Linked DNA regions of Pelodiscus sinensis. The protein of the gene in region 2 purifies or fractionates together with the protein of the main gene of each other region. This does not show direct contact. Links are inferred from orthologs where the notes say so. Each region holds a gene or a part of one and is shown on either strand. Other genes may lie near its edges.

Region 1 (7,751 bases), on a different chromosome or scaffold from region 2:
AAGTAAGGGGGGAGGGGGAGAGAGAGATTGAGGCTCCGTGGGAGGGGCCAGGGGAACAGCTGCAGAGTTCCTCCTTTGAAATGTACAAAGAGTCCCCACTGGGGCTCTGGTACATTTGAAAGCAAAAGCACCACATGGAGTCTGGAGGCAGTGGGGGGGCTCCCCACTTGCCCTGGGAATCCCCGCGATGGGGCCAGCGGGCTCCATGCAGTGTTTGTCTTTGAAATGTACAAGAGCTCTTGTGTGGCACTTCTGCCTTTGAAATGTAGCAACAGCAAGGCAGGCTCTTGCTACATTTCAAAGCAGAAGTGCCCTTATCAAATAGTCGATGGAAATTCTATTGGCTATTTGATTAGTTGATTAATCTAATTTTAACATCCCTAATTTATAGACATGCTGACTCATTAGTTATGTAACTATAATTTTTTTTTTACTATCTATCTCACATTAGGGATGTTAGCATGTATCCGTGTACACAATTAACCAATAAGAGAAGCAGCAGCAAGGGGATGTGGGGAGGTAGATGGGAGCTGGTAGATGCAGGAAGCTGACTTTCAAGCCAGTTTCCTGTGCATACCAGCTCCTGCAGAACTGCCTGTCCTGTCATAGAGGCAGCAGTGTGGGGGGACAGGTGGGAGCCAGTGCTCGGGGGGGTGCGGGGGAGGTAGCTGGCTTAAAAGCCTACTCCCCAACAAGCACTAGCTACTGCAGAGCCACCTGCCTCCTCACTCTGCAGCCTCTCTTTTAAGCCAGGTCCCCATGAGCGCCACCCTCCTGCCTGCCTCCCTGCATGTAAACATGCAACTACTAAAATTTTCAGCAGTTACACATTTACACAAATAAACAATTTTTAATTTCCCTATCCTGTATCAGCTTTTTGATGATTCTGAGTGATGACTGGCTAGCCTGTAAAATGGGGAATTAGGGTAAAATAGAGTCAAAGCTCTCCAGAGCCAATAGCTCATGGTGCTGAGAGGGTGGTTAATGCACATTGATCAGTTTCATACCCAACAGTATGCATGCAAGTGATGTAGTCCACATAAGTCAGTGGCACCAACCAGTAGATCAGGATCCATCAATAGATCTTGGAGCCTCTGACAGGTGATCCTTAATGGTTTGGCCAGGAAGCTATCAAGTGCTGGCACTTCAATTGCCCCTCCACCCACTGTCACGCTGCTCCTGTCCTCTCCTTTAGAGCTGCCCCCCTGGAAGCCTCCTGCTTGCTGTGCAGGGTGTGGGAGAGAGATCTTGGAACCTTTGCTCTCTAACGGTAGATCCTGATCTACTGGTTGGTGACCACTGTTCTACTGCTTGCAAACTGTGTTAATTTTGGTTTTTGACTGGTCTGTCCATTTCATAACTTTCATTTTTTACGCTTAATTTAATTCTTTCAGTATTGAGTTCTAAAATGCCTAACCTACTGTGGCTGGAGTTTTTATCCCTGTGATAATTGCTGCTCCTGGAAGTGGCTGGTATGTCCCTGCAGCCCCTGAGACAGGAAGAGCAGGGAGGTCTCCACATGCTGTCCTTGCCTGCGGACCTGTCCTGCATGTCCTATTGATCGATAAGAGGGAACTGTGGCCAGTAGAAGCTGTAGGCTCAGTGCTTGTAGATGAGGGGCAGCACATGGCACCATGGAGCCATTGCTGGACATGCCGACTGCTTTCAGAAGTAGTACAGGGCCAGGGCAGAAGTAAGCCTGCCTTAACTCCTGGGCTCCATCACCCAGAAGCTGTCTCAGTTAAACGGTGCTCAGCCAGAGCCTGCTGAACCCTTGTCCCAGCCCTGAGCCTCCTCCTACACCAGAAGAGAGTCCCCCTGTACCCAAACTCCTTCCCAGAACTTGCACCCTGAAACCCCTCCTGAACCCCAAACCCCCACCCTGGGCTAAGCCTGGATACCCTCCCACATGCCAAATCCCTTGGCCCAACACTAGAGCCTGCAGCCCAAGCCCTTAACCCAGTCTGGTGAAAGGGAGTGAGGATGGGGGAGGAAGGGAGATGAAGTGAGTAGGGCGAGGCCTCGAAGAAAGGGTGGAGCATGGGCAGGGCCTCCGAGGGGGCATGAAGGAAGCAGGGCACGGGTATATGGGTTTGAGGTAGAGCTTACAATTCACTTAAATTGAAAAAAGTGATCTTGTGGTGATCTTTTAAAAAGGTTGGCGACCACCCATATAAGTAGAGCCCTGTCAACCTGCGGGGCTACCCGCTTGGCGTCCAACTCTCTCCGACTGCCCCGACCCAATGGATCCGAGCGCCAGTTTGCAGCTTGGGGAACTGGAGGTGGCCTTCCAAGCAGCACCTCCCGACCCCCGGGCTGCAGTCAAGCGCCTTCCCCGCTCGGCCGCGCTAGTCCAGTGTCAGAGACGCGGAGCCCTAGACGAGCCCAGCGAACTGAACCCGGGGGGAGGCTTGAGTCGGAGATGAAACACCCGACACGCAGCCCTCGCCAGGGAACCGAGGCCCCTGCGCTGCTCGCGGGACCGTTTCCTCACGATCGCGCCAACAGGAAGCGCATTGCTTCCAGGCAGCAGCCTTCGACACACCGGGGGCCACGCGGCGGAGCCGGTGCGGGGGGGGTTACAACGCAGGCCCTGCCCCCCTAAGGAGCCAGGGGCGGGGGAGACTCGGCGCCTTCGGGAGGGCAGAAGTGGGGACAAGGCCTGGGGTGAAGCGGCGCCCGCTCCGTTCACCCCCCCCCCCCCCCGGGCCGCGCTCCGAGCCCTTCCCAAGGCGGCCAGCCGGAGCCCTGCGCGGAGGGAGAATCCCCTGAGTAGGGAGGGAGCCGCTCTGGGCGCTCACCTGTTTCCATGGCTGGCGGCTCCACTCGCGCGCCGAGCACAAGATGGCGGCGGCACTGCCCCCTGCCGGCCGGAAGCCTCGCGGAAAGCCGCCCTGGTGCATTCTGGGAAGCCAGGCGGCGCGTGGAGACGGTTACTAGGGTAACGAAGAGGGCGCGCCCTCCAGAGCTGGTGGTGGGGGCGGGGCCGTGACCTGCTCGCCCCGCCTTGTGTGTCCCTTGCTGCCAGGACCTGCCCTTACCGTGCGCAAGTGGGTGACGTCACACCAGAGGGAGGAGCGGTACTGCTTACCACATCACACCCGAGGCATGCGGCCTCGTGTGTGACGTCACCAGGGACTCCCTGTGACGTCACTGTGCAGCAAGTGTTGGGAGTAGCTGGACAGGGACCACAGGGCGACCAGGACTAGATGGGAGCTGACAGCACCAAAGGGGAATTGTTCAGTGCGGTGTGTAAGGAAATAACGGAAAGAGAGGAGACAAAATCAAGGCCACCTCTTCCCTTGCCAGTGCTGGAGATCAGTCTTCCAGCCTTCAACTGAGCTGGTCTATTTAAGACCTGCTAAATTGAGTGCCTACTCCTTGATTCGCGGGAAGTAAGGGAAGCTAACAGGAGCGTATGCTCCCATCGGCCTCACTCTAGGAAGATGTCGCCAAGCTCGGCTTACGGCATGTTCACACCAGCTACATAGTTCACAGAAATGGAGTTGGGTACCGTAACCCGACCTTTCAGGTCTAGTGTAGATCTGGCCTACGAAGGATAGCTTCTGATACACTTCCTGATAATGGGCCCGTCTACACAGCTGGGCTAAAGCCAAAATAAGCAACGCAATGAGATCAGACGCCCCTAACAATTTTTTCTTCTCTAATTATTGTAACCTAGTGTGCCTGAGGTAACCCTTGCTGAAAAAAAGCTAGGGCAAGCTGCAAAAGGCAGAGAAAATTCTCCCATGATTGATAAGTAACACTGAAAACTTCCCAACCAGTCACCAGCTGTGCTTCTGATTCCCCAGACTGGTTATCAAGAAGCCAAAAAAGAAATCACATTGCCCCATTTCATGCATTCCCGTTCTTTGTCTCCCAATCAGCATTTAGGTCGAGTACAGTGAGAAGTTTTTTAAATAACTCTGCTCTCTATACAAAATATACATCTGAACCCAAAAGGGCCAGCCACATTGTCTGGTCAATATTTGGTTGGGTCTGAAATACCTAAAATACCATGCTGCCAGCCAATCCTGTAGTGTCTAAAGCTAAAAGTTTATATAAAGAAAAAAGAAAGAACAAGAAGAGTATTAAATGATGGAGCAGCAACATTCATGCAAAGACTTCAAAGTCCATACATCAGGGTCAAAGCAGGAGAGTTTGGGGCTTGAAAGGCCCTTTGGAGCACATCCACAGCTTGGATGGCACATTAATTCTTTTTTCAGAGATTCAGCTTTTAAAAAAGTCACTCCAGAGATAACCAGGAGTGAAGAGAAAAAGGAAATGATGCAGTTGCCCTTTATATTCCTCTTGCTTTGTGGCTTGTATTTCATATGTTCCAAATACAAGTTTCACAGCACACGAGCATGGAAAAGATGTAGAGTTCACTGTCCACAGGAATGCCCCAGATGCTTTGGCAAGTCATAAGTTACATCCAAGGGATGGGCAAACTACGCCCCATGGGCAGTGTCCTAGCCATCAGACCTTTTACTCCAGCCCAGATGGAGAGCGGGGTTGGGGACTTCTCCCATTCCATGTGCTGTTGCTGTGCTCGGCTCCCAGAAGCAGAGGCAGTATAACAGCCATGGAGCTCTTAATACTGCCCCTGGACCAAGCAGTAGCTCTGCAGCTCCTATTGGCCGGGAATCAAAGCCATTGGGAGCTGCAGAGAGGGCAGCATCTGCAGGCAGGCTAGTGCACTGAGCTGTGTGTCTCCATGTAGGAGGTAGAGCTAAGACATGCTGCATCCTGCTTCAGAAGCCTTTTAAATCTGCATTTGAAAGGGAATCCTCTGAACTGTCATTCATGCTAAAATTCAACACTCTACGCATGGGTCTCAACAAGGACCCCAGTTATCTTACCCATTACAAAGATAGCTTCCCTAATTATCACCTCTAATACCATTAGCTCACAGACATTTACCTTCCCCCCCATCCCCCTACTGTTCTGAAATTTGATTTGTCCTTTTTATATGTGTTCTTTTTTTTTAAATTGTATCCTTTGTATATATGGTTGTGACTATTTTCTTCCACTATTTGATCTGAGGAAGTGGGTCTGGCCCACGAAAGCTCATCATCTAATAAACCATCTTGTTAGTCTTTAAAGTGCTACATAGTCCTGTATTTTGTTTCAGCTACACCAGACTAACACGCCTACATTTCTATCACTATTAGACACAATTACAGCACTCACAAGGGAAAATGGTTTCCCTTCAGAAACACAGAAAATAAAGGTAGACCATGATGATGCAGACAAAACAACAGAGGTGGAAACCCAAAATGTGGAGATAAAAGTCTTCATATTCTCCCAATGAAATCAGCAGCAGGGTACAGAACTGGGTCCACAGCCCACCATACTGGTTAAGGTGAAGCATTAATCATGTATTTTAATACTAAATGCAGCTTTATACATAAAAGTAAATACATAAAAACTGCTCTGAAATGGTTCCTACTTTTTTGTATCTAGTCTCATATCTCTTGCTCACTCATAGCTGCCTATAATTTTAAAAGCTTCAGAGGGGTAGCCAAGTTAGTCTGTAACAGGAAAAACTTAAAAAACAAATAAATAGTCTGGTAGCACTTTACAGACTAACAAAACATGTAGATGGTATCATGAGCTTTCATGGCCACGAAAGCTCATGATACCATCTACATGTTTTGTTAGTCTGTAAAGTGCTACCAGACTATTTGTTGTTTTTTTTTATAATTTTAAAGTTTGCATTGGCTGCTAAAGCTGAAGCATAAACTCTGGAATCAAAGTTCACTTTTATATCAGTAACCTCCCTTTGCAATCAATGGTCTTTACTTGCACTCTTTTTCAGATGATTGCAAAAAAAGCTTTTGCTTCTTGCAAAACATTTGCTTTGCAGAGCTCAATTATAAGGACAAATGAGAATTTTTACATCTAAATTTTTGAAGTTTGCTCCATAAGAAATCTTTTTGTTTGTTTGTTTTTGACACTAATGTGATTGACTATAAGGGTTAAAATTTTGTCAATATTCCCAAATGAATGCTGGCCATGTGACCTGCTCCCTAGATAAGCAAGTAGGAAAGTTTTAGAGCACATTCTTCACAGTTCTTTATAACGTCAAAGATAATGGCAGCACAATTTCTGCAGGAGATTGGCAATGTAAGTGACTGCAAAGAAATGATGATTTTAGCCATAAAGTGGGTACAGAAGACATTTCCAAATGTGGAATCAGTTACCACAGGGACATTGCATTACTGGATGGAAGAGAAGCCAGAAGAATTAATCATTCTTGTAAGTAATTTATTACCTATGAATTAAGAAAGTACTTTGTAATTAAAATTAGTCTTGGTCTCCTGACTACCCAATTTAAACGGATAACATTTTTCCATGTTCAAGAAATATTTTTTGTGATCTGGATATCCAGGTAGATTTTGTTTTCTTTACTTATGATCTCATGTCAGACCTCTCGTCTCCATTCACTTCACATCTTCTCCGCGTTGCATAGGTAAGGCCTTATAAAGCTAGGTGCAATAGGACACTAATAACACTTTGCTCCTTTAAAGCATTGGGTATCCAAGGATCCCAAAGCATGCTGGGTTCAGTCTCTATGCCAACTACCATGCCTTCTACCATTCTTTCTTGACCTGATTTTGATGTATGCATAACTGTGACAAATTAAATATAAAGAAAGTTATAATCAAGCTAACTCATAAGACTGGAGCTTCAGCTGCTGTAAATTGAGGTAGTCCTGTTGAAGTCAGAGGCACTATGCTGATATATGCCAACCGAGGAATTGATTCTGCAGGAAAATTGAAAGCCACAGGTTCACACATAGGATTCTTCAAGAAAATAAACCAAAAGAAGTTCCCATCCCATTATTTATTACCAGGCATTGTTATAGTGAAGGAGGACCTTAAAATCTGGGCTCAGAAGACAAGGCTATCACAATTGTTAGCAAGGTATGAAGCATCAGGTAGCATCAGGTTCCCACATCTGACTTAATTCTAATAACATGGCTGGGGCTTTCCAGAAAAAAAAGCCCACAAATTATCAGGAGGCTTGTGATCAAATCAGGAGAGTTGGCATCATGGATAGCTAGTCACTTTCACAAGATGATTTAATAGTTTCACAGTTTACAACTATGGACAGGATGACTCTGCACACACCTCCCCCAGGCCATAGGAAGGTGCTGGTAGTGGCATAGAGATAACAGCAGGAAGCCCCACCCTAACCCCGCAGCCCTTTGGGTGGTATTGGCAGGGGCCCATGATGGGTTTTAAATCAACCGGGGGGGGGGGGGGCAGCAGAGATACTCACCCCACCCAAAGCCCTTCCCAAGGAGGGGTGCCCACTAGCCCATTAGAAAGATCTGAGGCCTGGCACTGGTCCTCAGATAAATTGAGTTTGAGACCCTTGTTATAATGTTTCTGGTAGAATCTGAGCACCAGTTACTTACACTGAAACCCATTTATTCACTGGCTGGACACCAACACTATGACTTTTCACTCTGCCTGTCTAGTATGGCTGCTGCTCCCTACTTAGTATAAGTGGTGCTGTAGCCAGGGTGAAGAGGTGTTTGCAACTGTGCTATCTAACCCTACATTAGTGCTTCTAGCACTGGTGAATCATTAACATCACTTTTTGTAACACCTTGATTTTCCAGTCTGGTCTCCCAACCAGAATCTAGTGTCTGAGATGCACCAATGCCCAGCAAAAGCATATCATGGTACAGGAAAAAGGAATGGGGTACTGGCAGCATGCTCAGTCCCTGGAGAGGCCAG
Region 2 (7,442 bases):
TCGACTAGTCAATAGATTTTCCATCCACTTGTCAAATAGTTGATAAGCAGGGGAACTGCAGCGGGACCTGAGAGCTAACCCTGCTGCAGCTCTGCCTTTTAAATGTATTAATAGCTTGTTGGCTCTTAATATATTTAAAAGGCTAAAGCGCAGCAGGAGGGACTCAGCATGAGCCAGGACAACTAACAAGCTCTTAAAACATTTAAAAAGCAGAGGTGTAGTATCTGGGACTGGATGCAAGCTGGGAATAAGCTGATTTCCAGCTTGCGCCCAGTCCCCACTACCTCCCTGCGGAGACGGAGCTGGGGGAACTGGCTTTTAAGCCGGCTCCTTCGAACACTGGCTCTTGTCCCCTCCCCCCTTGCGGACTCTGATAGAGGCAGCAAGGGGAGGAGGGTAAGCGACTAGTTGAGGAATTAGTTGACTATCCTATAAGCTTTTGCTTATTGCAGAGGTGGAGAACCTTTTTTGGGTTGGGGGCTGTTGACTCACAGAAAAATCAGTCGGGGGCTGCACACAAATTAGGAGCAAAATAAAAAAACAAAAAAACACCCCAAGAATAAACTCCCACTGACATTGAGGAGATAAAGCTTCAGAGGTTAGTCTGTAACAGGAAAAACTTAAAAAATAACAATTAGTCTAGTAGCATCTCAAAGACTAAATAGTTACAAGAGGCTGATAAGAACCATTAGTTAGTACTTGGAAAGGAAGATGACCAACACCAGATTCTACACAGACATCAAGAACCATTAGCACCTTCATTGGTCGGTTGGTTGATAATGTGTGAACCATGATTCACACATTATCATAAGAAATAAACTTGTGAATGAAGTTAAGCTCCAATCCTTCTCTGTGTATTTGGCTTGTGGAATTGGTCTGAAACAAAACAGCGACTTGGAGATCCATTAATGAGTGTCCAGGAAGATTAAAGTGTTCTCCAACAGGTTTTTGTGTGTTGCCTTTTCGGATATCTGATTTGTGTCCATTAATTCTTTCCCATAGAGCAGTGGTCTCCAACCTTTTTACACCCAAGATCACTTTTCAAATGACAGAACAAGCCAAGAGCTACCGCCCCGCTCCTTCCTCGAAGCCCTGCCCCTTCCTCTCTATTCTCTCCATCACTTGCTATCCCCAACCCTTATACTGCTGCTTTTCCCCCAATCCTTCTGTAGGAAGAGGTTTCCCCAACATTTGGCCTGTCAAGACTGGACCAAATGTCAGTAAAACCCCTTCTTTTGGAAGCCCTCTTATTCCTCGTGGAAAGAGGAATATAGGGGTTACTGAAAGAGCATGTTTGCTCTTCCACTAAAAAAAGCGGAAGAACAAATGCATCCCTGGACGCAGAAGAGTTTTTCTGGGATATCTTCAGAATCCTGAAAAACTCCTGCAGTCTAGCCTTACCCTCACTGGGTTGAGGCAGGATGTATAGGCTCTGGGGTGGGAATGAGGGATTTGGATGTGGGAAGGGGTGAGAAGTGCAAGCTCTGAAAGGAAATCTGGATATAGGAGGAGGTGGAGAAGGGGACGCTGGGTTGGGGAGGGGGCTTCAGGCCGGGCAATGTTGGGGTCAGATGTAGAGTTAGGGTACTAAGCAAGCCACAAGCTTGTGGATATAAAGGTGCAGGAATTTGGGTTAGGGTATGTGAGGGGCTCAGGGCAGGGATTTCCAGTGTATGATAGGTTCAGATCAAAGGTCTGGGGGAAAGGGGTATGCAGGAGTGTCATGATGTTGTGGGCAGATGGGGGCTTGGCCCCAACTGTGGGTTTGTTGGCCAGGCTTCATTTTTAAATAAAATACTATGGCAAACAAAAAGTTTCTGCATTCTCTTTATTTATGAGAAGGGCAGGGAACCTGTTTTGAGTCAGGGGTCACTGACCCACAGAAAAGTCAGTAGGGTCCACACAAGTGGGATGCAAAATAAAAACTCCTCCAAAACTCCCACAAGCCTCACTAATGTGGCCCCAACTGTGCTGGTGGGAGCAGGGGGACATGGTATTGGGGAAGGGTGCAAGGGGGTATCGGGACAGGGTGCTGGCTAGGGTGCCAATGGGTGCTGGGGCAAGGGCCAGTGGGTTCTGGGGCAAGGGCCTGGGGCAGAGGACAGGGTGTCAGTGGAGGCAAGGGACAGGGTGCTGGGGTGGGGACAGGATGCCAGTGGGAGCAGGGTGTTGGCTGGGGCAGGGATTCCCCCCCCCCCAAGAGGAGAGAAGCTCCGGCAAGAGCCTCTTCCTGGGACGACTCCTCTGCAAAGGAGGAAAGCCCTAGCGCATTTCCCCCAGGGACTTCTCCCCCCTCCCTGGCGCGTGCTTCTCCCCGGGACTCCTACCTCCTCCCCCGCAGAGGAGAGGAGCCCCAGTGTGCACTGCCCCTCGGACTCCTCCCCTCTCCCTTACAGAGGAGGGGAGCCCCAGCACATGCTTCCCCCTGGGACTCCTACCTTTTCCCCGGCGTGCGCTTCCCCCTGGGACTCCTCCCCCATCCCCGGTGCAAGCTTGCCCTCAGGACTCCTACCTCCTCCCGGGCAGAGGGGAGCCCCGGTGCGCGCCTCCCCTCTCTTCTCTTCCCCCCCCCCCCGGAAGCCCCAGCGCGCATCTTCCTCTGGGACTCCTACTTCCTCCCGGTGCGCCACAGACCTGGAGGAGAGGAGTAGGCAGTGTACTTCCGGAAACCCCGGAAGTGGCACGCAGTTGCTGGACTTCCCTCCACCCCACAGGAAGTTGGCACTACCTCCGTTTTCGGAGGTAGGTAGTGGGGCTTCTTGGGGGCGAGGAGAATTGGAGGGGCCCCGAACGCCTCGCAATCACTGGTCGAGCCCTTCCGATCAACCCGTTGATTGTGATCGATGGGTTGGTGACCATGGCTGTACAGACTGTCCAGTCTGTCCGATAGATATTGCAGTGGGGGCATTGCTGGCATTTGACGGCATAAATCACATTAGGGGATGTGCAGTTAAATGAGTCTCTGGTTTGGTGGCTGATATGGATACTCCCCAAATTCTCCTCAAACAGCAGAGTCCCCCCCACGGGGTTCACCACCCCTAGCTCATCAGACAGTTGACTAGTAGCTTACATCCCTAATGAGGCTATATACCACTAATCTTATGAGAACAGCTTGAGGCACGATGGTAGCAAATATCAATTTCAAAACAGAAATGGGAATTGAAGGTATGTTTACCTGATGGAGCCTTTATTGATATAGAGCACAACCCTGTAGTGTAGTATAGCTACAGCCTATAGCAACAGATTTGTTGTAGTAACACAACCTCCCTGAATGACTCTGGCTATTTCCCTAGACACCACTTCTGTCAACCTAGAGTTGGAGCCTACACTGTTTTTTTTTAGCATAGCTATGTCTTTCTGGAGTGTAGTTTTTTCTCACCCCTAACTGGCATAGCTACTTCAAGGCAATTTAAGTACACACTAAGCCTAGGACAGAAGTGTGTGAGTGGCCCTTTTCATGATAGTCATGCTTAAGTCCCATGACTGGCTGTTTTCTCTTGCAGTGGAATAGCCTCCTGGCAATGTTGTCATGGCGATGATGACTCAGGAATGAGCAGGGTTAGTGCCTGGCCGTCCGGCATTGCTCTGTGCAAGCAGTTCTGGGCCAGCCTTTGATTGTGCATCACCCCGAAGGCAGGGATGTGCGCTAGCGCGGTGCCTCGCAGGGCTCAGCGGGCACCTCCGATCTTTCGCCCTGGCGCTGGTAGGGAAGGAAGCCGAAGCGCCAGCCCCTTGGGCCGCACCGGGGCGCGCAGGCGGGGCCGCTGCCTCCTCCTCTGACCCCTCGGGGACAGCAGGTGGGGCCCCGCCCCGGTTCCACTTGTAGGAGGGTGTCGCCGCCGCCAGGCCACGCCAGCCCGCGGGGCCCTATTGCATCTGCTGGAAACTGGGCGGCAGCATCTAACCCGCTCCGCGCTGCCCCGGCCACTCCGATCAGAGACGGCTCCGCCCCAAAAGCGCGTGCCAGGGCGGCTGATTGACGAGCACGGCAGCCACTCACGCCTAAGCCCGTAGCCCAACGACTAAATGCGCGAGATGAGCCGTAACCAATCGGGATCGCCAAAGAGGGGGGAAGGGCGGGGCCACGCTTGAGTGGCAGCTCACAACGTAAACAAGTACCAGCGCCACAATCCTTCCCCTCCCCCTAGCTGAAGGGCTGAGGCTCAGGTACTGAGCACGGTCTCGCTGCGAACCAACCTCCCTCCCCCGTGTGGTTGCGCCTCCCACCTCAGTCGGGCAAAGTGAAGAGTCAGCAACTTCCCAGCGTCCGCTGAAGCGCTTAGCCGCTCAAGGGAGCGCAGGCGCAGGCAGGGAGTGGGTATTGCGGTGCATGCTGGGAAATGTAGTTCTCCCGCCGCTGCCTGCCTATGGAGCCTTTGGATCCGCGGCGCCCGCTGCACTATCAGTCCCAGAATGCCCCGCGCCACGGTGCAAGCCGCTCCAGTTGAAGCGGGTGGCGGCGGAGCGGACCAAAAAAAAAAAAAAAACCCCACAACAAAATCCAAGAAAACAGCCCCCCCAGCCCCACTCGCGGCAATGGTGCAGGGAGGGGGCTCCCGGCGCCGGGGGCGCTGATCCCGCCGCGCCCCCTCCCCCATGGGTGAGCGACATGGACTACGAGTTCAAATCCAAGCTGGCGGCCGAGCGCGAGCGGGTGGAGGATCTGTTCGAGTACGAGGGCTGCAAAGTGGGGAGAGGCACCTACGGGCACGTCTACAAAGCGCGGCGCAAGGACGGGTAAGAGGGGGCGGCGCTGGCACGGGGCGGGGGCTCCTGGCTTGGTCCCCCCCCCCCCCCCGCCCCTGAGTGTCCCTCCGCCCTCCTGGGGCCGCGGCGCCGGGACTCCCTGCAGGCGTCCCCAGTTCAGCGACGCTGATGCCGCAAGCTCCTGGGCACCCTCTCGACCCCGCAGCTGCGGGAGGGTGCGGTGACTGGGGGGGACTAGTTGTCTGTGGCCCCTGGAGACGGCAGTGACAGTGGGGCTGGGCGGTGCTAGCTGCCGCGCCCCCTGCCAGTGGGAATGCCTAGAAATCCCCACACTGGGAAGGGGAGCGGAGGGGACGGGGTGGAGCGGGACTTGGTGGTGGGGGTAGGGGAGCTGGCGGTGGTGTGTGTCCGTCCGTTCCGCCCCCCCCCCGGGAGGGAGAGAGCCAGAGCATGAAGGTGGCAGCGAGAAATGAGAGGGGCCACCCTGAGGTGAAGGTGGGAGGGTAGCAGGGAGACTGGGGCGAGCCCTGGTGCTGTGTGTGTATGTAGGGGGAGCAGTAGGAAAGAGGTGGGAAAAAGCCTGGAGGTTGGGGTAGGGACTTGAGGATGGACTGTGGTAGCCTTGGTGGTAAAGAGTCTGTGCATCCCTCAGTGTCCCTTTCTCCCAGTCCCTGCAAAAGATGGGCTATAACAATTTTTCTTCTCCATGACTTTCCATCCGTTGACTTACTGTTTCACTTGAAGCCAGGAGGGATGGAGCAACAAAGGAAGAAAAAGGCAAAGAAACTAACTTTTGGAAAAAGTTTTTTGTAAACATTATTGTACTAAGGTAGAAAATCCAGCTTTCAAAAACAAAAAGATAACTGGATAAGAGGAAGTGGTGATGCAGGTGCAGCTCCACTGACTGGTGCATCCAGGCTTAATATAGATCATACATTTACTGAATAAGCACCTATGTTCAGGGCTCCCAACAGGCCCTGAGTGTTTTCGCAAAAAACAAACAAAAAACAAATCTAACCAACAACTTAGTTCTATACAGATATGCACACACAAATAAAGAGTATTTTTGGTATATTGCTGCTAGCCTAGTGTGTTCTGTGTGGGCTGAGTGAAGCTTTTAAGTGATGCTTCAAATATCGTAGCTTCATTTAAATTAATGTTTGTATCCCCAACCCCAGAAATGTTAATCCTGTGAAATTTGTTAGCTGGTCAGTGATGTGGTGGTGCTTAGTGTTCCTTATGAATTTTGCGATACACTTTATAGCCTAATTAAGTAGAAACTGAATAAGGTGGTGCTAAAAAGTCCTTGTTGTCCTAGTGAGGTTAATTCAGTATACCTACTAAATGTCTGGTTTTTAAGTGTGAGCATTGTTTGCTACTTATGAAGCACTGGCATCTCCAGAGTGAATCAAAATTATTTTTAAAATCCAAAAGAGTGGCCTGCTGTGTCTGTTTGTACTTTTCTAGTCTACGCCATGTAGAACTTTTCTGTAGCTTTTAATGAGTCTGGTAGTTGTTCGATGTGTATGACTCCATACAAGTAGCTAGTTAGGCCCAGAATGAGATGTACTGCTCTTCTCTCTGTGATGCTGGAAAGGTGGGATGGTAGTTCCCTGGCTAGTTATTACTATTCCTTGCTTGTCTCATTTAATTGTATGGCAATTCTGTAAGGAAAACACCTGATTTATCTCAGGTGTTGGTCTGCATGTATGCTGGCCATATTTATGCACACTACAATTACAGCGGTGAAACTTACGTCACTTGGGTTGGGTTTTTTAAATACCTTGGAACAGAGTGACATAAACTTTGCTGCCACAAGTAGTAGTGTAGACATGATCTAAGTTAGTAGGGTATAATACTGAGGCTAAGCAAGGGACAGGCAAAATATGGCCCGTGGGCCAGATCTGGCCTGCCAAACATTTGGATCCAGCTTGTTGTAGCCCAGTGGGACTTTCAGGTAGGCTCCTTGGATGCTGCAGCCCATACGCTGCTCACAGTGGCCAGCATGTGTGTGTCTGTGCAGTGTGCCCCTTGGAGGGGATGTTGATCTCTGTACTCTGCCCCCTGCACCATCTTTGCAGCTGGAAACTGGCCAATGGGAGCTGAAAGGGCAGTGCTTGCAGGTGCATACACCACATAGAGGCCCAATGATTCCCAAGGGGCATGCTGTGCAGAGATGCACATTAAGGCTGCAGCAGCCAGGGAGCTAGCCCAAGCGTCCTTCCGGGCCACTGGCCAGGGGCTGCCTATGGTAAATTCTCCTGGCCAGAGCTGGCTTAAAAGCTGGTTTCCCCCAGCATCAGCTCTGCAGTGCCACCTACCCCTCAGAGGCAGCAGTGCAGAGGTGGGGCAGGGAAGGCTGCTGCAAAGGAGGCCTCTGTCCATGGTGGCCCAGGCTCATTGTGGACAAAGGTTGCTCTATGCGAGGTGGACCAGCCTTTGTCCATGAGGAGCTCGGACCCTTCCCCCCCCCCGCAGACAGGGGCTGCACCAGTCTCTATCTGTGGCCAGCCAGAGCCACCACAGACACAGGCTGTTCCATGGTAGCCTCCCTTCTCCCCCCTCGCTCCTGCTGCAGCAGCCTCTGTATCAGAGGTAGCAGTGCAGGGCAATAGGCAGCCAGTCTGTGCGGGGAGTTAGTTTTTGTACAGGCTCCCCTTGCGAACTGGCTCCCAACTGCCTCAGCCCACGCTGCTGCCCCTGGTGACTAACAAATAGTCTTGTAACCAATAAGA
Region 3 (7,004 bases), on a different chromosome or scaffold from region 2:
AGTTCCCAACAGATAGAATCTGAATAGATCCAATTTTTGTCTTTGTATTGTTTTCAAGAATCACTGTGCTCCAGTGATAAAGTTGAAACATAATTTGGATAGTATTTTTTAAAATAAATTAAATTGGATTTAGATTTTTTTTTTAAAGAATGTGAATTGCTCTTTACATTTTAGAACTATCTTTATAGAACCTAATTATTACCTGATCTTGGTAGGAACAATTTTTAGACTTTTAGTATAATTATTTAATAAAGCGTAATAGGCAACAGTTAAAATTAAGCAGCCTGTCAATTTCTGTATAACATAAAGGCTCTGATCCTAAAATCTGTTCCATGTTGGCAGACCCTTATTTCCATAAATTGTGATACTGACAGCATGGGTTTCACATGGATACTAGTATATGCCCCCACAGATGACAGAATCCAGACCACGTGACTTTAAATAAATTTAGGCAGAAAGTGAACAAGTTCTGTCTTAATAAGGGATGTTAAAAATTGTGTAGAACAGTAACTGTGTATCCGCTAAAAATCTTAGCAGTGACACAGTTAGTTAAATATGCTGCAGGCCCTGCAATATAAAGCTTAGCTTTATACTACAGAGCCTGCATCAAAACCTCCCCAGGAGCGGAGTGGGTAGCTCTTGCCTGCCTGGCTGCTGGGGCAGAGGTTTTGCTGCCCTGCTGTATCAGCTAATTGATTCAACTCTATCATTTCTAGTCTTAATAACAGAAAGTACCTTTGACTTGAGGGCTACGTCTACACTGGCATGATTTTCCGGAAATGCTTTTAACGGAAACGTTTTCCGTTAAAAGCATTTTTGGAAAAGCACGTCTAGATTGGCAGGCCGCTTTTCTGCAAAAGCACTTTTTGCAGAAAAGCGTCCATGGCCAATCTAGACGTGCTTTTCCGCAAAAAAATCTCTGCTGTCTACACTGGCTCTTTTGCGCAAAAGTTTTTCGGAAAAAGACTTTTGCCCGAACAGGAGCAGCATAGTATTTCTGCAAAAGCACTGACAATCTTACATGAGATCGTCAGTGCTTTTGCGGAAATTCAAGCGGCCAGTGTAGACAGCTGGCAAGTTTTTCCGCAAAAGCAGATGATTTTGCGGAAAAACTTGCCAGTCTAGACACGGCCGAGGTGTTTGCCAAGTTATTTTAAAACAATTATCTCAAGTCAAATTTTGCCCCGGATTTAGGTTTTATAAAAGCAAGCAACCTGAGGCCAAAATAAAATATTGATTAAATAAAAAATGGAAAGCTTGGTTTTATAGAACATTCCCTGTAACACTTGCATTCCAAAACATGGCAGTCTGAAAAGAAACTGACTAAAACCAAAGTGAAACTGATCAGTGCATTTTCCCAGCCATAGCCCCAGAAATTGAGATAAATACAAAAAGTATTCCATATAAATAGGAAAATACATTCGTTTATCAACTTAACTTGAAAAGGTAATCTATAGAGAGCCCCTGCTTCTCTGGAAGGAAAAAGACTATGCCAAAGGACACCAGTTGCACCTTGGATATCAGCACAGTAACTTTCACTGAATAATTAATGTGGGGAAATTTCTGTGGCATGTGGATAGAAGTGAAATAAAGAATGCCAAGCATATGTGGGTGATTAAATGGAGGAAAGGGTTACTGAGGATCAGTTTCAAAATGTATTTCATTATGTACTCTAGGGGACCCTTTAGTGTGCACTTGCTGGGTCTCTATATAGACCAATTAATGTGCACACTACCTCCAACTAATAGGCCACAGAAAGGCAATACAGAACAAGGCACAGTTGTATTTTGAACACTTATCAGTATTTTGGCAAGGATCAATAAAATAGACAAGATTTTTAAAAATGCTTGTCCTATCCCTGCCTGTTGTTTACTTACACTGTAAGTGCTAAACTTAAAAAACAACAAATGGTCTGGTAGCACTTTATAGACTAACAAAACATGTAGATGGTATCATGAGCTTTCCTGGGCACAGCCCACTTCCTTAGTTGACGGGAGTTTTGTAGGTAAGTGCTGTAGATCAAATAGACGTCTTAGATGTCTATAGTAATATATGCAACCGACGTTTCAATGGTTCATTTTAAGTTACCTACTTTACTAGCCACTAGACTAAAAAACAGCGCCTTTATTACAAATCCCGCCCACCCCCCGAGTAATGCTTTTGAGGTTGGTTTCTCGGACGTCCAGGGACAGTTCTGAGCCGACCTGATTGCAAGCCGACAGAGAACGGTGCATGTCAGTTTCCACACAGGGAGGAGTTAAAGCAGCGCTCACGGCAAGGCCATGCCCGGCAGGGAAAGGGATTTCGGTAAGTTACTCGCACCCTTTCTCCGGCTTCCCGAATCGGACCGCTAGCGGCCGGGCCCCCGTTCTCGGGGCTGAGCCCCCATCCCTAGGGCACCTCGCCCCGCCCCGGCGGGGTCCCACCTGGCCAGGGGCCTCTCGGCGCTGCCTCGCTAGACAGGAACCGCCGGGTCCCGGCCGCGGCGGCGCGAGTGAGGCCGAGCCGAGCCCGGCCGGGGGCGCGCGGCTACCTGGCCAGCAGCTCCAGATCCTCCAGCGCCGCCAGCAGCCTGTCCCGCGTGCTGCTCCGCTCCCCGCCCGCCGCCATCGCCGCGCCCGAGCAGCAGCCCGCCCCTGCAGCGGCCCGCGGACGCAACGCCAAGGGCCGGCGACAGCGGCATCCGGCGGCGGAGGTCTGAAGCGCAGCCCCCTGCGGAGCCTGTGCCCGCGCCTGGGGCCGGAGACAGCAGAGCCGGCCTGGGCGGCAGCAGGAGCTCCACAGACTCCGCCTGAGGCGCGGGCCCCGCTTTGCAGCTGTCTCAGCAGGCCCAGAGAGAGAAGCAAATTCCTGCTGAGGGACCATTGGTTTGGGGTCGGCCTCCCAGTGCGCAGGGCCCAGCACCTGCCAGGCAAGGCTCTGTGTCCACCTGTTCAAAAAGTGCCTTTCCAGCCCTGGCGGTTGCACAGAACAGCGGGACACCAAGGCTTGGCGGACAGTGGAGGCTTGTGCCAGGCCTGGGCTGTGCCACAGAGTTAGCTGCCTTGCATGCCCCTGGGCATGCCCCTGTCTGTGCTCACACCTGTGTAAGTGCCCCATTATGACAGTGTAGTAACACCTAGAACCAGGGTTAACCTATTGAGGCTGCTACAGCAGGAGTAGCGAGACTCTGTCAACCTAACAGTCATCCAGAAGCTAGTCCACTATGTCCCACCCTCTCCCTGCAATAGTGTCCACTCTGATCACAACTTTAAATTCCACTGCACAGGAGACACAGAGATCAAAGCCACCATCTGCCTATCTCAGTGGTGGGCAACCTGCAGCCCACAGGCCACATTTGGCCCACTGGGGTTACACTTCTGGCCTATGCAACTGTGGGAGAAAAATCAAATAACTCCAACTGTGTCTAAGGAGGGATTGTGCAGGAAATCAAAAGTCTCTAAAAGAAAACTGCTGTAAGGGTTAAAAGTTTTCCAGGCCTCTCTCCCTGTAACAGAGAGAAATCATCTTAACTTTAATCAAGACCCTTACAATGCCTCCTATCTCAACTTCATGAAGACTCCTAGTCTGTCACAATTTGTCATGTAAACTCTTATCTTTGTCACAGTTTGCCTTGTAGCTCCTCACTCAGGTTATCATATGCTTTTGTACTGTAAAACTTACTTCTAGCACTTCTGGTGAGAACAGAGTACTTCTGCTGAGACTTTGATATGTTAAAGGAAATAATCAACAACTAAACTGTCTGAACATACTGTATAAAGGATCCCTGAAACTCTCAGGGCTGCTGCTACTCTCACTCCGGTAGCTGTCAGCCTGCATGCATGCATAATAAAGTTTTCCTTCAAGATTTCTCTCCTGCCTCACTGTTTTGACCTCCAGCCTCGACCCTTCTGCGGACTCTGTACCCCAGGGGAGCGAGATTTCCCCAACACAACCCATGTTTGCCCCTCTCCACACAAGTGCTTCTTGTGCACTGGGGGCATTGGAGCCCCACATTTCTTTCTCCTTCCCCGCCCTCACAATACTTTTGGAATGCCACAAATCTTCTGATTTGTGCTCCATCACCACTTCTCCCACTTCCTCCCAGAGCTTGAACATGTGAAACAGCTGTTCAGTTGGATCACTTGATAATTATCTGTTCTGTTCATTCCCTCTGGGGAATGTGACACTGGCCACTGTCAGAAGATAGGATACTGGGCTAGATGGACCTTTGTTCTTAAAGATACGTGTAGACCTCCAGGATCCCAAAATAGCTAACCCGTGTCTTTTAAATGTGCCTATTATTTGAAAAAAATGAACACGCTATTCCAACATCCCTGTAACCCTCATTGCATGGATGTTTCAAAATAGCATGTTATTTCGAAATTTGGCACTGTGTAGACATGCCAAATTTCAAAATAAGGTACACAATTTTCATAGCGCAAATTGCATATCTTATTTCGAGTTCAGGGTGCTGTGTAGATGCACTCTAAGGCTACGTCTACATTGGCCCCTTTTCCGAAAGGGGCATGCTAATTTTACAGGTCGTAATAGGGAAATCCGCGGGGGATTTAAATATCCGCCGCGGCATTTAAATAAAAATGTCCGCCGCTTTTTTCCGGCTTTTAGAAAAGCCGGAAAAGAGCGTCTACACTGGCCCCGATCCTCCGGAAAAAAGCCCTTTTCCGGAGGATCTCTTATTCCTACTTCAAAGTAGGAATAAGAGATCCTCCAGAAAAGGGCTTTTTTCCGGAGGATCGGGGCCAGTGTAGACGCTCTTTTCCGGCTTTTCTAAAAGCCGGAAAAAAGCGGCGGACATTTTTATTTAAATGCCGCGGCGGATATTTAAATCCCCCGCGGATTTCCCTATTACGACCTGTAAAATTAGCATGCCCCTTTCGGAAAAGGGGCCAATGTAGACGTAGCCTAAATGTCCTGCAGCCACTGGTTACAATGTGATCCTTAAAGTCATTGCTCATTTCTTGGGCTTAGAAGTGGTGCTCTGACATTTGCAGCTACTCTATGAACCTCAGCATCAATCTAAAGTTGTTTTCCCACTGTTTCTTAGCACATTGGTTCTCAACCTTTCCAGACTACCATACCTCTTTCAAGAGTCTGATTTTGTCTTGTGTGCCCCCTCACTTAAAAATTGCTTGCTTACAAAATCAGATATAAAAATGTAAGTGTCATAGCACACTGTTACTGAAAAATTGCTGACTTTCTCGTTTTGTCTGTATGACATTTTAATTTGTACTGACTTTGCTAGTGCTTTTTATGTAACCTATTGTCAAAGGCAAATACCTTTGTGTCGATGTATCTCCGGGGTATATGTACCCCTGACTGAAAACCACTGTTTGGCAAACTGTCCTCAAAGAAATTATATATATTATACTTTCTGCAGGTCTGCAAATCCAAGAAAATAGTGCATCATATATTTGTAATGTGCATAAAAAGAGTGTAGGTTCCATGTTCTGTCAAAAATGGTAGATACCAAAAAAGTGTCACATGGATTTGTGGGTTTAAAAAAAAAAGGTGAAAATCATGGAATATGGATGGCATTATAGGATGGAGAAAGTTATGCGCTGGGAATATGACCTCTAGCTCCCAGAGGTCCGTGGGTGAGTTGTTTCTATTCTACAGCGCATTGCAAACATTTCAACACAAGACATCGTGCCAGACAGATGTCCATGACACACCGCAAGATGTCCATGACCTTACCCATTGTGCCACTGAACTTTGTGTCAGCACAAGCACTCCAGGTGAATACATGCAGCATTTGACACAAGCAATCAAGTACACACCAGCACAAAGGATATACAAACTTTGTCAGTTGTATGCCAATGGAACTTGGGTCAGCCAAAGTTTGTAATGTAGATATGACCTCAAAAACAAGAAATCAAAGGAAAAGAATCCACAATATTTTAACAATCTCATCATTTTTAAGCCCGTCGTCTGGCTGTTTGATGCCTGACTCATGATTTTTGAACACTTAGGGTTGGCAATATTGAGGATGCGGTGTAAAACCACAGAAACTGTCAGGAAGAGTAGGGGCAGCACTTAGAATTACTTTTACCTTAATGTTTTAAATTTGACTAGCTTTCAAGTTGATGGTTTGAACAACTGAAAATGGATATACAGTTATGGACTCCATCATGCACCTTACTCCTGCGCAAAACCCTGGGCAAATCAATGGGATTCTCCACAAGTGCAGAGGTCTGACCATTTAGATCAGATTGCAGAGTAATTAGATACAGAACATGGTTCTAATCCTGAGGACAATCAAACCACATTTTGATAACTTTAAAAGTATTAAATTACAGTAGATGACCGTGATGCTGCATATCATGCAGACAGATTTCTGGGGCCTGTATGAAGCCCCCCTTAAGTTAATATGGTTACTATGTACCTAGAACAATTATTGCAAACAGACCTGGAGACAGAAGCCACAGGGTGGGTGTGAAGTAGAGAGAAACAGAGATGCTAGGGAAGAAGGTCTCTGGGTACTAGAATATTATTCTTTACAGCACATGGAATTAAAACCAGAAGTCCTCAGTCTGTCCATTGCTCTGCTGTCAGCAAATATGAAACTCACTAGCAACATGGCTGTGTCTAGACTGGCAAGTTTTTCCGCAAAAGCAGTTGCTTTTGCGGAATAACTTGCCAGCTGTCTACACTGGCTGCTTGAATTTCCGCAAGAACACTGACGATCTCATGTAAGAAATCAGTGCTTCTTGCGGAAATACTATGCTGCTCCTTGTCCAAGACGGAACATCAGAAATGGCTGCCCGTCACAGGGAGCCATAGCCTGTAATACCTCTGAAGCTGGTATAGGGGGCTCTGTCTGTGAGGTGGAGTGTTTTCCAAATAAGGGCATGTAAATTAATAATCTTCCCCTGCTCGCTCCACCCATTGCAGTAAAAGATCAGCCAATGGGCTGACTGGTGCTCAGGCCTGCTACTCCACCCACTGCAGCAAAAACCAACCTATGGGGTGATAAGTTCACAGGCAATAAAACAGGCAGGCAG
Region 4 (7,403 bases), on a different chromosome or scaffold from region 2:
AGCCGCCAGTATAGACGTAGCCTAACTGAATAGTGGTACAACCACATGAAATCTTAGTGGGTACATGACTATTTGATAGTCCCTGGGGCAGGGCCAGCAGCCAGTGTGCTCCCTGCCCCACTCCCAGGGAGTCCCCTGACATTCCGTACTGCTGACCAACTTAAATGTATCCCCCAAATTAAAAAAAACATCGTAAGAGAACCAAAAAAGGGACACCATGGCTTAACAACCAAGTAAAAGAAGCAGTGAGAGATAAAAAGGCATCCTTTTAAAAGTGGAAGTTAAATCCTAGTTAAGAAAACAGAAAGGCGCATGAACTCTGTCAAATCAAATGTAAAAATATAAGAAGAAAGCCAAAAAGGAGTTTGAAGAACAAACAGCTAGCCAAAAACTCAAAGAGCAATATCAAAAAATGTTTAAGCACATCAGAAGCAGGAAGTTTGCTAAACAACCAGTGTGGCCACTGGACGATCAAGATGCTAAAGGAGCACTCAAAGATGATAAGGTCATTGCGGAGAAACTAAATTAATTCTTTGCTTTGGTCTTCATGGCTGAGGATGATAGAGAGAGTCCCAAACCTGAGTGATTCTTTTTAGGTGGCAAATCTCAAGAACTGTTCCAGATTGAGGTGTCATTAGAGGAGGTTTTGGAACAAACTGATAAATGTATCAGTAACAAGTCAAGGGGACCAGATGACATTCACCCAAGAGCTCTGTAAGAAGTCAAATGTGAAACTGCAGAAATATTAACTGTGGTTTGTAACCTATTCTTTAAATCAGCTTCTGTACCCAATGACTGGAAGATAGCTAATGTGACACCAATATTTAAAAAAGGCTGTAGAGGTAATCCTGGCAATTGCAGACCGAGAAGTCTGATGTCAGTACCAGGCAAATTAGTTGAAACTATAGTAAAGAATAGACTTGTCAGACACACAAATGAATATAACTTGTTGGGAAAAGGTCAACATGGTTTTGGTAAAGGGAAATAATACCTTACTGATCTACTAGAGTTCTTTGCCATGGGTTAAGAGTTAGTTGTCTTGGGAAAAGAAGGAAGGTCCTCTCGTGGAGTGGTAACTGGTTAAAAAACAGGAAACAAAGAGTAGGAAGAAATGGTCAGTTTTTAGACTGGAGAGAGGCAACTAGTGGTGTTCACCAAGGGTCTGTCCTGGGACCAATCCTATTTAACCTACTTATAAATGATCTGGAAAAAGGGGTAAATAGTGAGATGGCAAAATTTGCAGAGGATACTGAAATTTTTCAAGATAGTTAAGAACAATGCAGACCGTGAAGAGCTTCAAAAGGTATATTGGCATTGGAAAAGGGTCACAAAGGGTCACCAAAAATGATTACCGGGGGTGGGGGTTGGAATGGGTGCCATATGAAAAGAGATTAAAAAGACTGTGATTTATCAATTTATAAAATAGGAGAATAAGGGAGACTATGATAGAGGTCTATAAAATCACAAGAGGTATGAAGAAAGTGAATAAGTTATTTACTTCTGACTATAACATAAGAACTAGGGTCACCAAATGAAGTTAATAGGTAGCAGATTTAAAACAAACAAAAGGAAGATTTTCTTCATGCAGCAGTCAACCTGTGGAACTCCTTGCAGGAAGATGTTGTGAAGACCAAGACTTTAACAGAGCTCAAAAAAGAACTAGATAAATTTATGGAGATTAGGTCCATCAATACTTATTAGCCAAAATGGATAACAATGGTATTCCTAACCTCTGGTTGTCAAAGTCTGGAAATGGATGACAGGAGAGGGCTCACTTGATGATTACCTATTTTTGTTCAGGTAAGTGAGCTCATCATGGACATGGGCACCAGCTTCGTCCCCACCTTGCTGTCTCTGACACAGAGGCAGCAAGGGGGAGGATGCGTGTAATCAACAAGATTTAAACGATAAGCATAGGTTCAGTGGTTAATTGTGGAGTGGTCTACATGATGACATCCCTACTTCATAGATCAACTGGCAGGATCAGTGACTAACTAAGATGCTAACATCAGTACACTCAAGTCCAGGACATACATTTGGTTCCTAAATCATAATCTCTGTCGGCTGCTGCAGAGATAAAATGTTTTCGCCCTTTTCCTCAGCCACATGGGCAGACGCTGCCCAGCCTTTTACTGGTGAAATTAAGTGGGGAAATTATTGTAATCAGTGATGGCGGTGGGGGGAGCAGTGTCCTCTCACCAGCACCTACCACCGAGGCAGAGTAGATACATAGATGCATTCCCCACGGCGGCCTCCTTTTAGCCCCATACCAGCCATTCCAAGAGTGAGCCGAGAGACCGACTTGAAGAGCGCACCGAGGCAAAGGGCCTCTGGGAGCGTCTCCCTCAACAAGCGGCCTCGCCACAGGCACAGCCAGCAACAGCGCCCAGCTCCCCCGCTGTGGACGGCGCGCGCTCAGCGTTGGCGCGCGGGCTGGGACAGGTCAGTTCCCGGGCGGCGCGAGCTCAGCGCGGGGCGCTTCTAAAGCGGGGAGCGGATCCCAGCTGAGGGACAGAGCTAGGCGCGAGGCGCGAGACACAAGCCAGCCCGCCCCCTCCCCCTCCGGAGCTTCGGGGGGCGGGGCGCGAGAACAGCCGAGAACGCTTCAAAGCCCAACGGCCTCCCTAACTGTAAATCGGCGCCATTGTCCTCTCCCCCCCCCCCGAGTCCCAGGTTTGTGACCCCGCCCCCGCCTCCAAGCCGCGGGGAGAGGCTCGCGAAGCGGCCCGAGGAGATGCGGGGAGCGACGCCCAGGCCCGCACCAGCTCCCGCCTCACCGAGTTCACCGCGTCCTGAAGCTGCGTGAGCCGATCCGCCATGATGCTCCCCTGCGCTCCCCGCCGCCCGGCTCCCAGCGCCGCCTGCCCATGGGACAGAGCCCGAGCGCGGTGTGTGCGTGGTTCTCTTTCGGGTCCGAAGGGCGGCTCGGGCCCAGGGGACGCCTCGATCGTCGCTCGCCCCCTGCCGACTGGGAGGAGCCGCGGCAGCTGACGGGACGCCCTGCGGAGGGAAAGGCCAAAGGTGGCGTCCACTGGGCAATGCAAAAAATTGTTGTAATTGCTGTCAGTGAGTGCTAGGTGGGGGCGGGGGCTGAGTGTACAGGGCAATGGCCAGCGTCCTGGGACAAACAGGGACAGAAACAAGGGGGGCCCAGGATTGTTTTAAATCCACTCCCCTCCTCCCACTTTATTATTAAACCTTTTTCTTGCCAGATGTTTTTGCAGGTGGGTGGGTCTAGACTGGCAAAAACTTGCCAGCTGTCTACACTGGCCACTTGAATTTGCGCAAGAGCACTGACTTTGTAATGTACAAAATTAGTGCTTCTTGCACAAATACTTTCCCGCTCCCGCTCAGGAAAAAGCCCTTTTGCGCAAGAATACTTGTGCAAGAGGGCCAGTGTAGACAGGAAAGAACTGTTTTGCGGAAAAAAGCCCCGATGGCGAAAATGGCGATTGGGGCTTTCTTGCGCAAAATAACATCTAGACTGACCACGGATGCTTTTGCGCAAAAGCACTTTCTGCACAAAAGCATCCGTGGCAATCTAGACGCGCTTTTGCAGAAATACTTTTAACGGAAAAACTTTTCCGTTAAAAGTATTTCCGCAAAATCATGCCAGTCTAGACGCAGCCAAGGAGTGTGACACAAGCAAGATTCTCAGGTCCTAAGCCTCTCAGTGACAAATGTAATGTTTTGTGATACACCATTTGGCCCACCCCGCTTAAGCAACAGCCCTGAGCTAGGATGGAAGCAGAATGACTATACTAGAATCTCAGCTCTTTTTTCTACTCTCCATACTTCCAGAAAAAAACTGAAAAACATGCCCATGGAATAAGTGAGTTGTGCCTGTGAGGGGAGAGGGTGCAGGGAAAGGCAGTCAGAGGAAGAAGAAGAGGGCATGAGGGAGCACTCCATTTAGCAATCACATTTTCACCTCATGGGTGCTACCACAAGTTGCCTGTGCCCATGTGGTACCCTAATTACTAAGAAAGCACAAGGCAAATAAAAAGCACTAATCATTCATTATTGTTAAAATAATCTCACAATTTTAAAGGCAATCTCTCAATTTTTTGCTGTTGGGATTGGCAAAGCTGCTTGAGTATGTTGTTGAAAGCATAGTTGTGCATGTAGGCATGGAATCTTAGAGCTAGTCAACACTAGAAAGTTAAGGTGGTTTATCCATATGGGTTAGGGTAGTGAAAAATCCACACCCTTGAGCAACATAATTAGGGCATTTAAAGTCCCTCTGTAGCCACAGCTAGGACTACCAAAGCATTTTTTCATCAAACTAGTACTGCTTGTTTGGAAGGTAGATTGCTTTTGTCCATAGGAGAATCCCCATTGGTGTGGGTAGTGTCTACAGTGACACAACTGTTGCATTTTAAGTCTACCCAAGCCCTTAAAAGTTGGGGATGGAAGAGACATATTAGGGCCCAAAAGATTGTCTCCTACTATATAATTACTTTTATATTTAGTTTCAGAGGTCTCATGTACTGTGGTTTCCACCTCTTTCCTTTGGAGATGATTCCACGGCCTATACATTTTACTAAATAAGAAACTGTTTCCAACACTGAGTTTACATTTTAGCTATCTTAATTTCTTCTCAGTACTCCCACTTTTACTCCCTGGCACTATTATAAACAATTCTTTACCAGCCTTGAATTTACAAATATTTGTAGACTGCTGTCACAAATCCTCTTTAATTCAAGCAATATTGCTTCAATATTTTTCTTCATAAATCAATCCTAACAGCTCTCCAATCATTTTCTTCTCTAAACTCCCTTCAAACTATCAATATCTTTCTAGTAATGTGATGCACAACTGCACAGAAAGATTCTAGAGTCACATCAGATCCTTAGAGAGTTTTGATGTACAGCCCAGAACTAGTGACCTTGTTTGTAGAGCCCTGAAAATCTGTAGATATTCACAGCTCATTTGTGTAGATATGGATGTGGATAAAAAAATTGTGTCTAGAACTCTGCAAATCTGTGGCTATCCACTTTTTAACTGTGAGTTTTCACATACACAGATGTCAATGCAGATATCTGCAACTTATTTTTGTGGATACAAGTGCAGATACAAATTTTGTATTCATGCAGGGCTCTCCTTGTTTGCTTCCATGTTACCTTGTCTAACTTGTTTAATTTACAGTCTGTCCTCACTGATGATTATATGCAAAAACATGTAGCAGAAAAAAGTGCTGTACCTTAAAAGCAAAGTTATCATTTCTAACCGAGACTAAGGAGAAATGTTATGTCTAAAAGTAATACTGAAGACCCTACATATATGTGTATTATTAAAATTCCAGGTATGTTACTTAACACTTTTTTTGCATGACTTAATTCTTTTGCAAGAGAAATGTCAAGTTAAAACTAAAACACAAGCCACACTGTTTATCAGTTGTGAGTAAAACGAGATTAAAATCAACTTCTGCAATTCTGAGAACAGATAAATATCAGAAATTTTGAACCAACCAGAAACATTAAGATCTTGCATGGTAAGTTTCAGCCCAGAGTATCCAAACTGCCATTCTGTTTATGGCATACATAGAAAGCATTTCTCAAGAATAGTGTACTGTCGGTAGACTTAATCCTGCCTCACTTAAGGGGACTGGACTATGATTCTATCAGTTCTGAGAAAAGATACTCTAGGAAAAGCAAGCCTATGCTGATGAGATTCTTATTTTACGTCAGTTAACATATAAAAGATGTTATGCAAATCTATAGAATAATCATATTGGATATGACCAAAAATTAATGTAGCACAGTATGCTGTCATCCAAGAATGGCCAATGTTAGATACGCTAGAGACAATAAACAGAACAGGCAATCAAGTAATCTATTCCCTGTCATCCATGCGCAGCTTCTGACAACAGAGGCTAGGGACACCTGGCTAATAGCCATAGATGGAGGTATCCTCCATGAATGTACTGTACCATAATTTCTCATTTAGCACTACAGATGTGTTTCTGAAAATGTTTGTGCTAAGCGAAAACATGCTATGCGGGGTCAATTTTCCCATTAAAAATGATGGAAAAGGTGGGGGTTGCATTTCAGGTGGTGGTGGCAAAGTCAATTTTTTGTTGGTGCTCAGTCATCAACGTCAACATTAGATATCTAGCAACACAAGTCACTGTGGTTTGTTAAAACATAAAGATAAACATGTGAGTGAGTGGAGGAGCACTGTGACCACGTGTATTCATCCGCTCGTGTATTATCACTGTTTTCACCAACTTATACCACCGCGCGAAGTAGTCCCCACTTGATTATTTTCGTGTTATTTCGGGGACGGTCATATTATTCAAAAAATGTTCCCTAAAAAAAATCGTGCTATTGCGAAAACGTGTTAAGCGGGCACGTGTTAAGCAAATAATTACTGTATCTAGTTCTTTTGTAACCCTTTCATAGTTATAGCCTTCACAACAATTCTGGTAAAGAATTCCACAAGCTGATTGTGTGTTGTGTGAAGAAATGCTCCCTTTTGTTTATTTTAAACCTACTGGCTATTAATTTCATTTAGTGACTCATCATTCTTGTGTTATGAGAAGGAGTAAATAACACTTCATTATATACTTTCTCCACACCATTCATGATAGTATAACCCTTTAGTGGTCTCTTTTCCCAGCTGAAAAGTTCCAGTCTTATTAATCTCTTCTCATACAGAAACTGTTCCATACCTCTAATAATTTTTGTTGCCTTTTTCTGAACATTTTCCAATTCTAATATATCTTTTCTGAGATGGGACAACCACATCTGCATGCAATATTCAATATGTATTTATATAGAGGCAATAAGAATTTTTGGCCGATTATCTATCCCTTTCTTAATGTTTCCCAATATTCTATTCATTTTTTTGACTGCTGCTGCACATTGAGTGGATGTTTTCAGAGAACCACTCACAATGACTCAAAATTTCACTCTTAAGTGGTAACAGCTAATTTAGACCCTGTCATTTTATATGTATAATTGGGATTATGATTTCCAGTGTGAATTACTTTGCATTAATCAGTATCGAATTTGATTTATCATTTTGTTGCCCTAGCACGTAGAATTTGGCTAACAATCTCATGAGCAGAGACAAATCACAATAAACCGCCATCCCTCCTGACAAAGATTTCAATCTCCCAAACACTTATGTAGGACCTGTCTGTACAAGAAAGTTGCATGCCTAAGGTGTGAATTTAAACTGTTACAGTGCAAACCTCTGTGTGATTTCAGTTTGAGTGGTTTTTTGGTTTCGGTTAGCTTGGGTTGATTGGGAACCAGTTTACATTAAGCCAAAGCAAGACACTCTTAAGCTAAAACAAAACTATCTCCCCAGGTATTTGTACTGGTTTTGTTATAATAGTACACCCACTCAGAGGTGCTGGAACTAGGAGTTCTGCTGCACTCCCTGGCTTGAAGAAG

The links.
Region 1: the proteins of CDK19 (region 2) and MED31 purify together in Homo sapiens (affinity purification with mass spectrometry; 6 studies listed by BioGRID and IntAct, counting the BioPlex papers as one, with this or other methods). This does not show direct contact. The link is inferred for Pelodiscus sinensis from reciprocal best matches to the Homo sapiens genes CDK19 and MED31.
Region 3: the proteins of CDK19 (region 2) and MED4 purify together in Homo sapiens (affinity purification with mass spectrometry; 7 studies listed by BioGRID and IntAct, counting the BioPlex papers as one, with this or other methods). This does not show direct contact. The link is inferred for Pelodiscus sinensis from reciprocal best matches to the Homo sapiens genes CDK19 and MED4.
Region 4: the proteins of CDK19 (region 2) and MED21 purify together in Homo sapiens (affinity purification with mass spectrometry; 6 studies listed by BioGRID and IntAct, counting the BioPlex papers as one, with this or other methods). This does not show direct contact. The link is inferred for Pelodiscus sinensis from reciprocal best matches to the Homo sapiens genes CDK19 and MED21.

What each region holds. Positions count from the first base shown.
Region 1 is NC_134731.1:14,453,465-14,461,215, forward strand, and holds the start of MED31 (mediator of RNA polymerase II transcription subunit 31), read right to left. Parts: upstream 3,007-7,751; 5' UTR 2,812-3,006; coding exon 2,802-2,811; intron 1-2,801. UniProt on the Homo sapiens protein: Component of the Mediator complex, a coactivator involved in the regulated transcription of nearly all RNA polymerase II-dependent genes.
Region 2 is NC_134713.1:79,074,448-79,081,889, reverse strand, and holds the start of CDK19 (cyclin-dependent kinase 19), read left to right. Parts: upstream 1-4,434; 5' UTR 4,435-4,596; coding exon 4,597-4,737; intron 4,738-7,442.
Region 3 is NC_134711.1:288,753,932-288,760,935, forward strand, and holds the start of MED4 (mediator of RNA polymerase II transcription subunit 4), read right to left. Parts: upstream 3,017-7,004; 5' UTR 2,866-3,016; coding exon 2,534-2,865; intron 1-2,533. UniProt on the Homo sapiens protein: Component of the Mediator complex, a coactivator involved in the regulated transcription of nearly all RNA polymerase II-dependent genes.
Region 4 is NC_134711.1:119,852,152-119,859,554, reverse strand, and holds the start of MED21 (mediator of RNA polymerase II transcription subunit 21), read right to left. Parts: upstream 3,005-7,403; 5' UTR 2,820-3,004; coding exon 2,778-2,819; intron 2,633-2,777; exon of another isoform or gene 2,240-2,632; coding exon of another isoform or gene 2,210-2,239; intron 1-2,209. UniProt on the Homo sapiens protein: Component of the Mediator complex, a coactivator involved in the regulated transcription of nearly all RNA polymerase II-dependent genes.